Xenopus tropicalis: one gene and its partner. The protein of the gene in region 1 interacts with the protein of each later gene in a biochemical or structural test. Links are inferred from orthologs where the notes say so. Each region holds a gene or a part of one and is shown in the gene's direction. Other genes may lie near its edges. The genes, in order: fen1 and hus1.

Region 1 (3,825 bases):
TGTGCAGCAAGCTCTGCCAACTTTTTTCACATGATCTGGTCATGCCCCCATATTGCTAAATTCTGGTCAGCAGTGACCAAATATCTATCAAACAACTTAGCCTTCCCCACTGTGACCGCTCCTGAAACCTGCTTGCTAGGAGTCCTAGACACTATAATTGCCCAAAATAGCTCCCGGCTACGCTACAGAATATTGCTGTTCTATGCCAAAAAAACAGTTGCAATGCACTGGATGGGCACTACCCTCCCCACTGTTACAGCCTGGAAGAATCTAGTGAATGCTGTTGTCCCTCTTTACAAACTTACATATGAGAACAGGGGCGTGTCCGATAAATTCGATAAAGTTTGGGGTCCTTGGTGTGATCTGGAGGGAAACTGAAGGACTCTACTCCCATTCACAGGGTAAAATCCCCGGCGTTTCCCCACTTCTCTCTACCATATCCTGAGCACTTAGCTCAGTAGGTTGATGTACCCAATACTATGTAACTGCCGCCAGATCCACCCTTAAACTTTGTATTGTTACACTTTCCCCCTCGATGTTTGTAACAATCCTTAAAGACAGACCTGAAAAGAAAGACTAGCATATTCTATTTACTGTAATGTTAAATGTGTTATTTTATGTTTTTGTTTGTATAAAAAGCAATAAAACATACCTTTCAAAAAAAGATAACACAAGTAAACACAAAATGCAGTTTTTAAATGAGGGTTTTTATTATTTAGGGAGAAAAAAAATCCAAACCTACATGGCCCTGTGTGAAAAAGTAATTGCCCCCTGAACCTAATAACTGGTTGGGCCACCCTTAGCAGCAATAACTGCAATCAAGCGTTTGCGATAACTTGCAACGAGTCTTTTACAGCGCTCTGGAGGAATTTTGGCCCACTCATCTTTGCAGAATTGTTGTAATTCAGCTTTATTTGAGGGTTTTCTAGCATGAACCGCCTTTTTAAGGTCATGCCACAACATCTCAATAGGATTCAGGTCAGGACTTTGACTAGGCCACTCCAAAGTCTTCATTTTGTTTTTCTTCAGCCATTCAGAGGTGGATTTGCTGGTGTGTTTTGGGTCATTGTCCTGCTGCAGCACCCAAGATCGCTTCAGCTTGAGTTGACGAACAGATGGCCGGACATTCTCCTTCAGGATTTTTTGGTAGACAGTAGAATTCATGGTTCCATCTATCACAGCAAGCCTTCCAGGTCCTGAAGCAGCAAAACAACCCCAGACCATCACACTACCACCACCATATTTTACTGTTGGTATGATGTTCTTTTTCTGAAATGCTGTGTTACTTTTACGCCAGATGTAACGGGACACGCACCTTCCAAAAAGTTCAACTTTTGTCTCGTCGGTCCACAAGATATTTTCCCAAAAGTCTTGGCAATCATTGAGATGTTTTTTAGCAAAATTGAGACGAGCCATAATGTTCTTTTTGCTTAAAAGTGGTTTGCGCCTTGGAAATCTGCCATGCAGGCCGTTTTTGCCCAGTCTCTTTCTTATGGTGGAGTCGTGAACACTGACCTTAATTGAGGCAAGTGAGGCCTGCAGTTCTTTAGATGTTGTCCTGGGGTCTTTTGTGGCCTCTCGGATGAGTTGTCTCTGCGCTCTTGGGGTAATTTTGGTCGGCCGGCCAATCCTGGGAAGGTTCACCACTGTTCCATGTTTTTGCCATTTGTGGATAATGGCTCTCACTGTGGTTCACTGGAGTCCCAAAGCTTTAGAAATGGCTTTATAACCTTTACCAGACTGATAGATCTCAATTACTTTTGTTCTCATTTGTTCCTGAATTTCTTTGGATCTTGGCATGATGTGTAGCTTTTGAGGTGCTTTTGGGCTACTTCTCTGTGTCAGGTAGCTCCTATTTAAGTGATTTCTTGATTGAAACAGGTGTGGCAGTAATCAGGCCTGGGGGTGACTACAGAAATTGATATTGAAATTGAAAATTGAAATTGATAAACCACAGTTAAGTTATTTTTTAACAAGGGGGGCAATCACTTTTTCACACAGGGCCATGTAGATTTGGAGTTTTTTTTCTCCCTTAATAACGTAAACCTTCATTTAAAAACTGCATTTTGTGTTCAATTATGTTATCTTTGACTAATAGTTAACGGTTTTTGATGAGCAGAAACATTTAAGTGCGACAAACATGCAAAAGAATAAGAAATCAGGAAGGGGGCAAATAGTTTTTCACACCACTGTAGATATATATTGTTCCTTAATATGAACCTGGGGACTAAAAGTTCTATTTGACCCACGCAAGCAGTCCTAACGTTTCTCTTTACTTTCCGTTTTACTGTTTATACATAAGGGTGAAGACACACAGCTACTAGTAGCAGCTACTTGTCACGGCTACAAAAAAAGACAATGCTGATCATTTACTGATAATTGTCCCTACATGTAGGGAATTCTCAGTATTGTCTATGGCAGGGGACTTAGTAGCCGTGACGGGTAGCTGCTACTAAGTAGCTCCATGTGTCTTAGCCCTAAGTGAAATTGGGTTTGTTATTTTGTGCACTCATTGTACATTAAGTCCATGCAACTAAGTCTTTACCTTTTTTTTTTTTTTTTTTTTTTTTTAAAGGTTTAATCTGCGTTGTTGAACTCTGCATCTTCCTTCTCTATTACCAAGTCTACTTTTGCAATGGGAATTCACGGTTTGGCCAAACTTATTGCAGATGTGGCACCTGCAGCTATCAAGGAGCATGATATCAAAAGTTACTTTGGCCGAAAGGTGGCTGTTGACGCTTCCATGTGCATTTATCAGTTCCTTATTGCCGTACGACAGGATGGCAACATGCTGCAAAACGAGGACGGTGAAACCACGAGCCATCTTATGGGTATGTTCTACCGTACCATTCGCATGATAGAGCATGGCATTAAACCCGTTTATGTGTTTGATGGAAAGCCGCCACAGATGAAGTCAGGTGAACTAGCCAAACGCAGCGAGCGTAGGGCAGAGGCAGAGAAGTTGCTTGAAGCTGCCGAGGAGGCTGGGGAGGTGGAGAACATTGAGAAGTTTAACAAAAGACTTGTCAAAGTCACTAAACAGCACAATGAGGAGTGCAAGAAATTGCTTACCCTGATGGGCGTTCCTTATGTGGATGCACCTTGTGAGGCTGAAGCCACATGTGCAGCCTTGGTGAAAGCAGGGAAGGTGTATGCTGCAGCCACTGAAGACATGGATGCCCTGACTTTTGGCACTCCTGTGCTGCTTAGGCACCTAACCGCAAGTGAAGCTAAAAAGCTGCCTATTCAGGAGTTCCACCTAAACCGTGTTATGCAGGACATGGGTGTCTCACATGAGCAATTTGTGGATCTCTGTATCTTGCTTGGAAGTGATTACTGTGAAACCATCCGTGGCATTGGACCCAAAAGGGCCATTGACCTGATCCGTCAGCATAAGTCAATTGAAGAGATCGTAGATAACATTGACCTCAAAAAATACCCCATTCCGGAGAACTGGCTGCACAAGGAGGCCAGGCAGCTTTTCTTGGAACCAGAAGTAGTAGACACCGAGAGCACAGAGCTAAAGTGGATAGAGCCCGATGAAGAGGGATTGGTGGCCTTCATGTGTGCAGAGAAGCAGTTTAGCGAAGACCGCATACGCAACGGGGCCAAAAAGTTGTCAAAGAACCGGCAAGGCAGCACACAGGGCCGGCTCGATGACTTTTTCAAAGTGACAGGATCCATTAGCTCAACTAAAAGGAAAGAGGTAGAATCCAAAGGATCTGCCAAAAAGAAAGCCAAAACTGCAGGTACCCCCGCAGGAAAGTTTAAGAGGGGGAAATGAATGAGTTGGGAAACTATCAAGAACTGATGTGAATGATGTAT
Region 2 (3,825 bases), on another chromosome or scaffold:
CTTTAAGGCACGGCTTACATCAGTGTTCCAACCTATTGGGTAATTGTTAGTTCAACATCATTGGTACAGCAGTCTTTTTTTCTGGTTTTGGACTCTCGCCATGCCTTCTTTCCATGACTGCTGTAATAGTCCTGGTGGGGGTGGAGCAATGACAGTAGTATGGCGTTACTGTTTACTAACAATAGTAATAACTAGTGGTTGAGGAGAGGCAAAATCGTAGTTTTATTATGTTACATCAGTGCAAGGAAGATTTTTAAAGTATTACAATAAAACATGAAGAATGCATCAGTATCACTGCATTGTAATTGTGTTTCAGTAACGTGTGTGTTGTATTTTAATTTTCTCTTTCTTTGATTTCTCTTCTGAAGGAGTCATAAATACAATAAGCAAGCTGACAAAGACATGTACCCTCAGGCTCACCGTTAACAATCTGTACTTTATTCTAACTGACAAGGTAGCCAATGGAGGAGTCAGTATGTGGTGTGAGCTTAGCCAGGTAATCCACTTTGGTAATACATGTAATTATCAAACTCCTAGGATGGTTGCTCAATATTCGTTCAAATATGCCTTTATTAAAAAGAAAAAAAGTTTTTAAAGAGTTTGGTAACTACTATTCTTATTGGACTAATCACAGTCCTGTATTTCAGCTTTTTGAGCTTCTTACATCTGTCTTAATCCAACCAGGGCTCTATGTAAGAACGCTATTACGACCAATGCTAAAGTTTGCTGCCAAGCATATATGACCCTCTGTTTCTGTTTTCTAAAGCACTGTACTTGCACCAGATATGAATTTCCTTTACCTGGTGTAAGTACCATGTTTTTTTCTCTTTTGGTGAAGGCTCTTTCCTGTTTCAGCATGCTAATAACAAATGCATCAAGCAACATTTGTTAACCAGTTAACGCCTGTGATTGAAATACTGTCTGCAAGCCAGGCCTGATCAAGCTTTGTCACTGGTCAGCCTCACACATGCTTCTGTGGGTGGCTGGAAGCAAATCTTAAAAATATTCTCACATTTAGAGAAAAGCCTTTCCAGAAAACTAAAGGCTATTGTAACAGGAAACGAAGGCTTGACTACTTTCAATACATTGATTGAAATGATCCAAAACCTAAACAAGGTCAATGGGTTTAGGATATTTTTTTTTGAGAATTTTGTTTATATTTCAGGGCAATTTCTTTGATGAATATCAAATGGAAGGTGTTTGCATGGAGCAGAATGAAATCTTCTTGGAGCTGATACCTGAAAATCTTTCCCGAGCATTAAAAACTGCTCAGAATGCTAAATCTGTGAAAGTAAAACTGACAAACAAGCATTGCCCATGTCTGACAGTGGCTCTAGAGTTGGTAAGGAAATTTGAATTTTATATCGGCATAATTGTATTTTGTCTACGAAGGCATGTTTGTATGTAAAATCTTCTTACAAATGTTGTTTGTAAGTATTATTATACATTTTTTTTATAGCGCCAGCAAATTATACAGCTCTTACAATGATTTAACCATCAAGGGTTTTGAGTAACAATAGAATCATAGGGCCCTACTTGCAAATGCTTACAATCTAAAGGGGTTAAGGGTACAAAAGGAATATGGAAACAGATTGATGATATATGATACATAAATAAATGTTGGATCAGTCGGGATATATTGAATATGCTTTCCTAAATTGATGGGTTTTTAGGGAGTGTTTGGAAGGAAGGGGAGAGACTGATGGCTCGAGGCAGAGAGTTTCAGAGACAGGCAGAAGCCCAGAAGAGAGTCAAAGGTTATAAGCAAAGCATAAATTGCATAATCTGTGTGCACCTTTTCCTGCTGTTAGGAAAAGATCTCTCTAGATTAATGTCAAAGTTCAAAAAACACGTGGAAAAGCCACCTAGTTTTTTACACTACCCCACTGTCAACTCTTCTAGACACAGTGATTTTTTACACCCCTTTGTGTTCTAGCACTTGTTCTGGATAATTGTAAATAACTTCTTAGGACCTTGACACTCAAAACTGTCTCACACCGATCCAATCGGGCAAGTATAAATGAGGATACGATAAGACCCCGATACTGTAGGCATGGTAAGAACAAAATTACTTCCCCACCCCTTTCTATCACATAATATGATAATAAATAGGGTTGTGGGAGAGCTGATTCAGGAACATACATGAGGAGAGTGGTTATGAAAATGTGAAAAAGATAAAGGGTGAAATAGTAAGAGGCAGGAAGCAATTCATAAAAGTTTTATATATATATATATATATATATATATATATATATATATAAAGTCATGCAAAGCAGGCACTCGCGTGAAAATGGAGCCAAAAATGCCTGGGTGCAGTATATACAAGTGTAGTACAAAAATAGCAAGGATGCCGCACTCACAGGTCTTAGTGCAATAAACAGAAAATTTATTAATACAGACTAACGTTTCGGCTGTCACTGCAGCCTTTTTCAGCCTTTGAAAAAGGCTGCAGTGACAGCCTATCGTCTTGATTTAGGCTGATGCCACACTTTGCATATGGCGTATATTTTCGGCAACCTGAATATCGTTTGCCGAAAATAATGCCATACGCTCCTACCTGTGAAATGGAATATGCTCGGGTTCAGGCACATGTAGGTCATATCCTCAGAAGATATGAAGTCTTGCGTTTTTTGGTGGATATCAGCTACATATGCCTGCATCCGAGCGTATTCCATTCGTTCAGGTCCAGGCACAAGGTAGGACACTTTTACAGTAGCGGGCGTATTATCGGCAAGGGTTTTTTGGCTTGCCGAGAATACACCCTTGCGGCATCAGCCTTAAATCCAACAAGTAGCTAGGTCAGGAGGCAGGGTTGGCCTTCTCCAATTCGCTATAGGTGAAGCTAGTTCAGCCATTATTTCATCCCTCCCATATAATTAGCTCCTTGTTAATATTATTTTTTTCCCTAACATTGCTTTCATCCTGACATGATTGCTCTCATAGTGATATGAGCCAAAGTAGAGGGTAGATTGCCACTGAGATTATTTGAAGGAGTTAAACTTAGAAGGGGAGGAATTGTAGTAGAATAGATAATAAAAGTGATGTAATGGTATAAAAACAAGCCACCCTTGTTATGCATTCATTGTCTCAAGTGATTTATTTCTGGGTAACTATATAGTTCAGAATCTTGCTCCCACTCAGCCAGCTAAAAATAACACAAGTGTTTCAAGAAGCTCATTTCAAGTAGTTCATTAAGGCAGAGAAACTTTTATAATTATAAGTTACATAAAAAAATGCTGTCATATAAAGGAATATTGTACTTTAACTATAGTTATTTTGTTAAGCAGCAAGATCTGGTGTAGGCCATTATATGTAATCTTCTTTAGGAGTACTCTGCAGTAAGCCTTGACTTGGTTTCTTATGAATGTGGAGGTCAGTTGGCCTAAAACTGGGTATACACAAACTTTTGTTTAGTTGAATGCCTGTGTGTCGCTTCATTCCAAAGTAAAATGAATCCTGTGAAGGAAGTTACATTTTGCAAGTTGTACATTTTTAGGAAATTACGATATCACTTATCATTATTATTAATATTATTATTTATTTATAAAGCGCCAACATATTCCGCAGCGCTGTACAATAAGTGGGTTTCATAAATTGGACATACAGAGTAACATATAAAGCAATCAATAACCGATACAGGAGGTGAAGAGAGCCCTGCCCAAAAGAGCTTACAATCTACAAGGAGAAAGGGTTGAGGCACAAGGTGTGGGAATGGGCATGACCAGAGTTGTGAGAGGTGTGGCTCAGGGTATTGCTTTTAGCAGCACACTGAGGTTATGTTAAACTAGATTAGGGTAAGCTTCTCTAAATAAATGCGTTTTTAAG

The links.
Region 2: the proteins of fen1 (region 1) and hus1 form a complex in vitro, tested with the Homo sapiens proteins (2 studies listed by BioGRID). The link is inferred for Xenopus tropicalis from reciprocal best matches to the Homo sapiens genes FEN1 and HUS1.

The regions. Positions count from the first base shown.
Region 1 is NC_030680.2:23,225,579-23,229,403, reverse strand, and holds part of fen1 (flap endonuclease 1), read left to right. Parts: intron 1-2,575; 5' UTR 2,576-2,635; coding exon 2,636-3,784; 3' UTR 3,785-3,825. UniProt on the Homo sapiens protein: Structure-specific nuclease with 5'-flap endonuclease and 5'-3' exonuclease activities involved in DNA replication and repair.
Region 2 is NC_030682.2:59,402,602-59,406,426, reverse strand, and holds part of hus1 (checkpoint protein HUS1), read left to right. Parts: intron 1-368; coding exon 369-496; intron 497-1,165; coding exon 1,166-1,342; intron 1,343-3,825. UniProt on the Homo sapiens protein: Component of the 9-1-1 cell-cycle checkpoint response complex that plays a major role in DNA repair. The 9-1-1 complex is recruited to DNA lesion upon damage by the RAD17-replication factor C (RFC) clamp loader complex.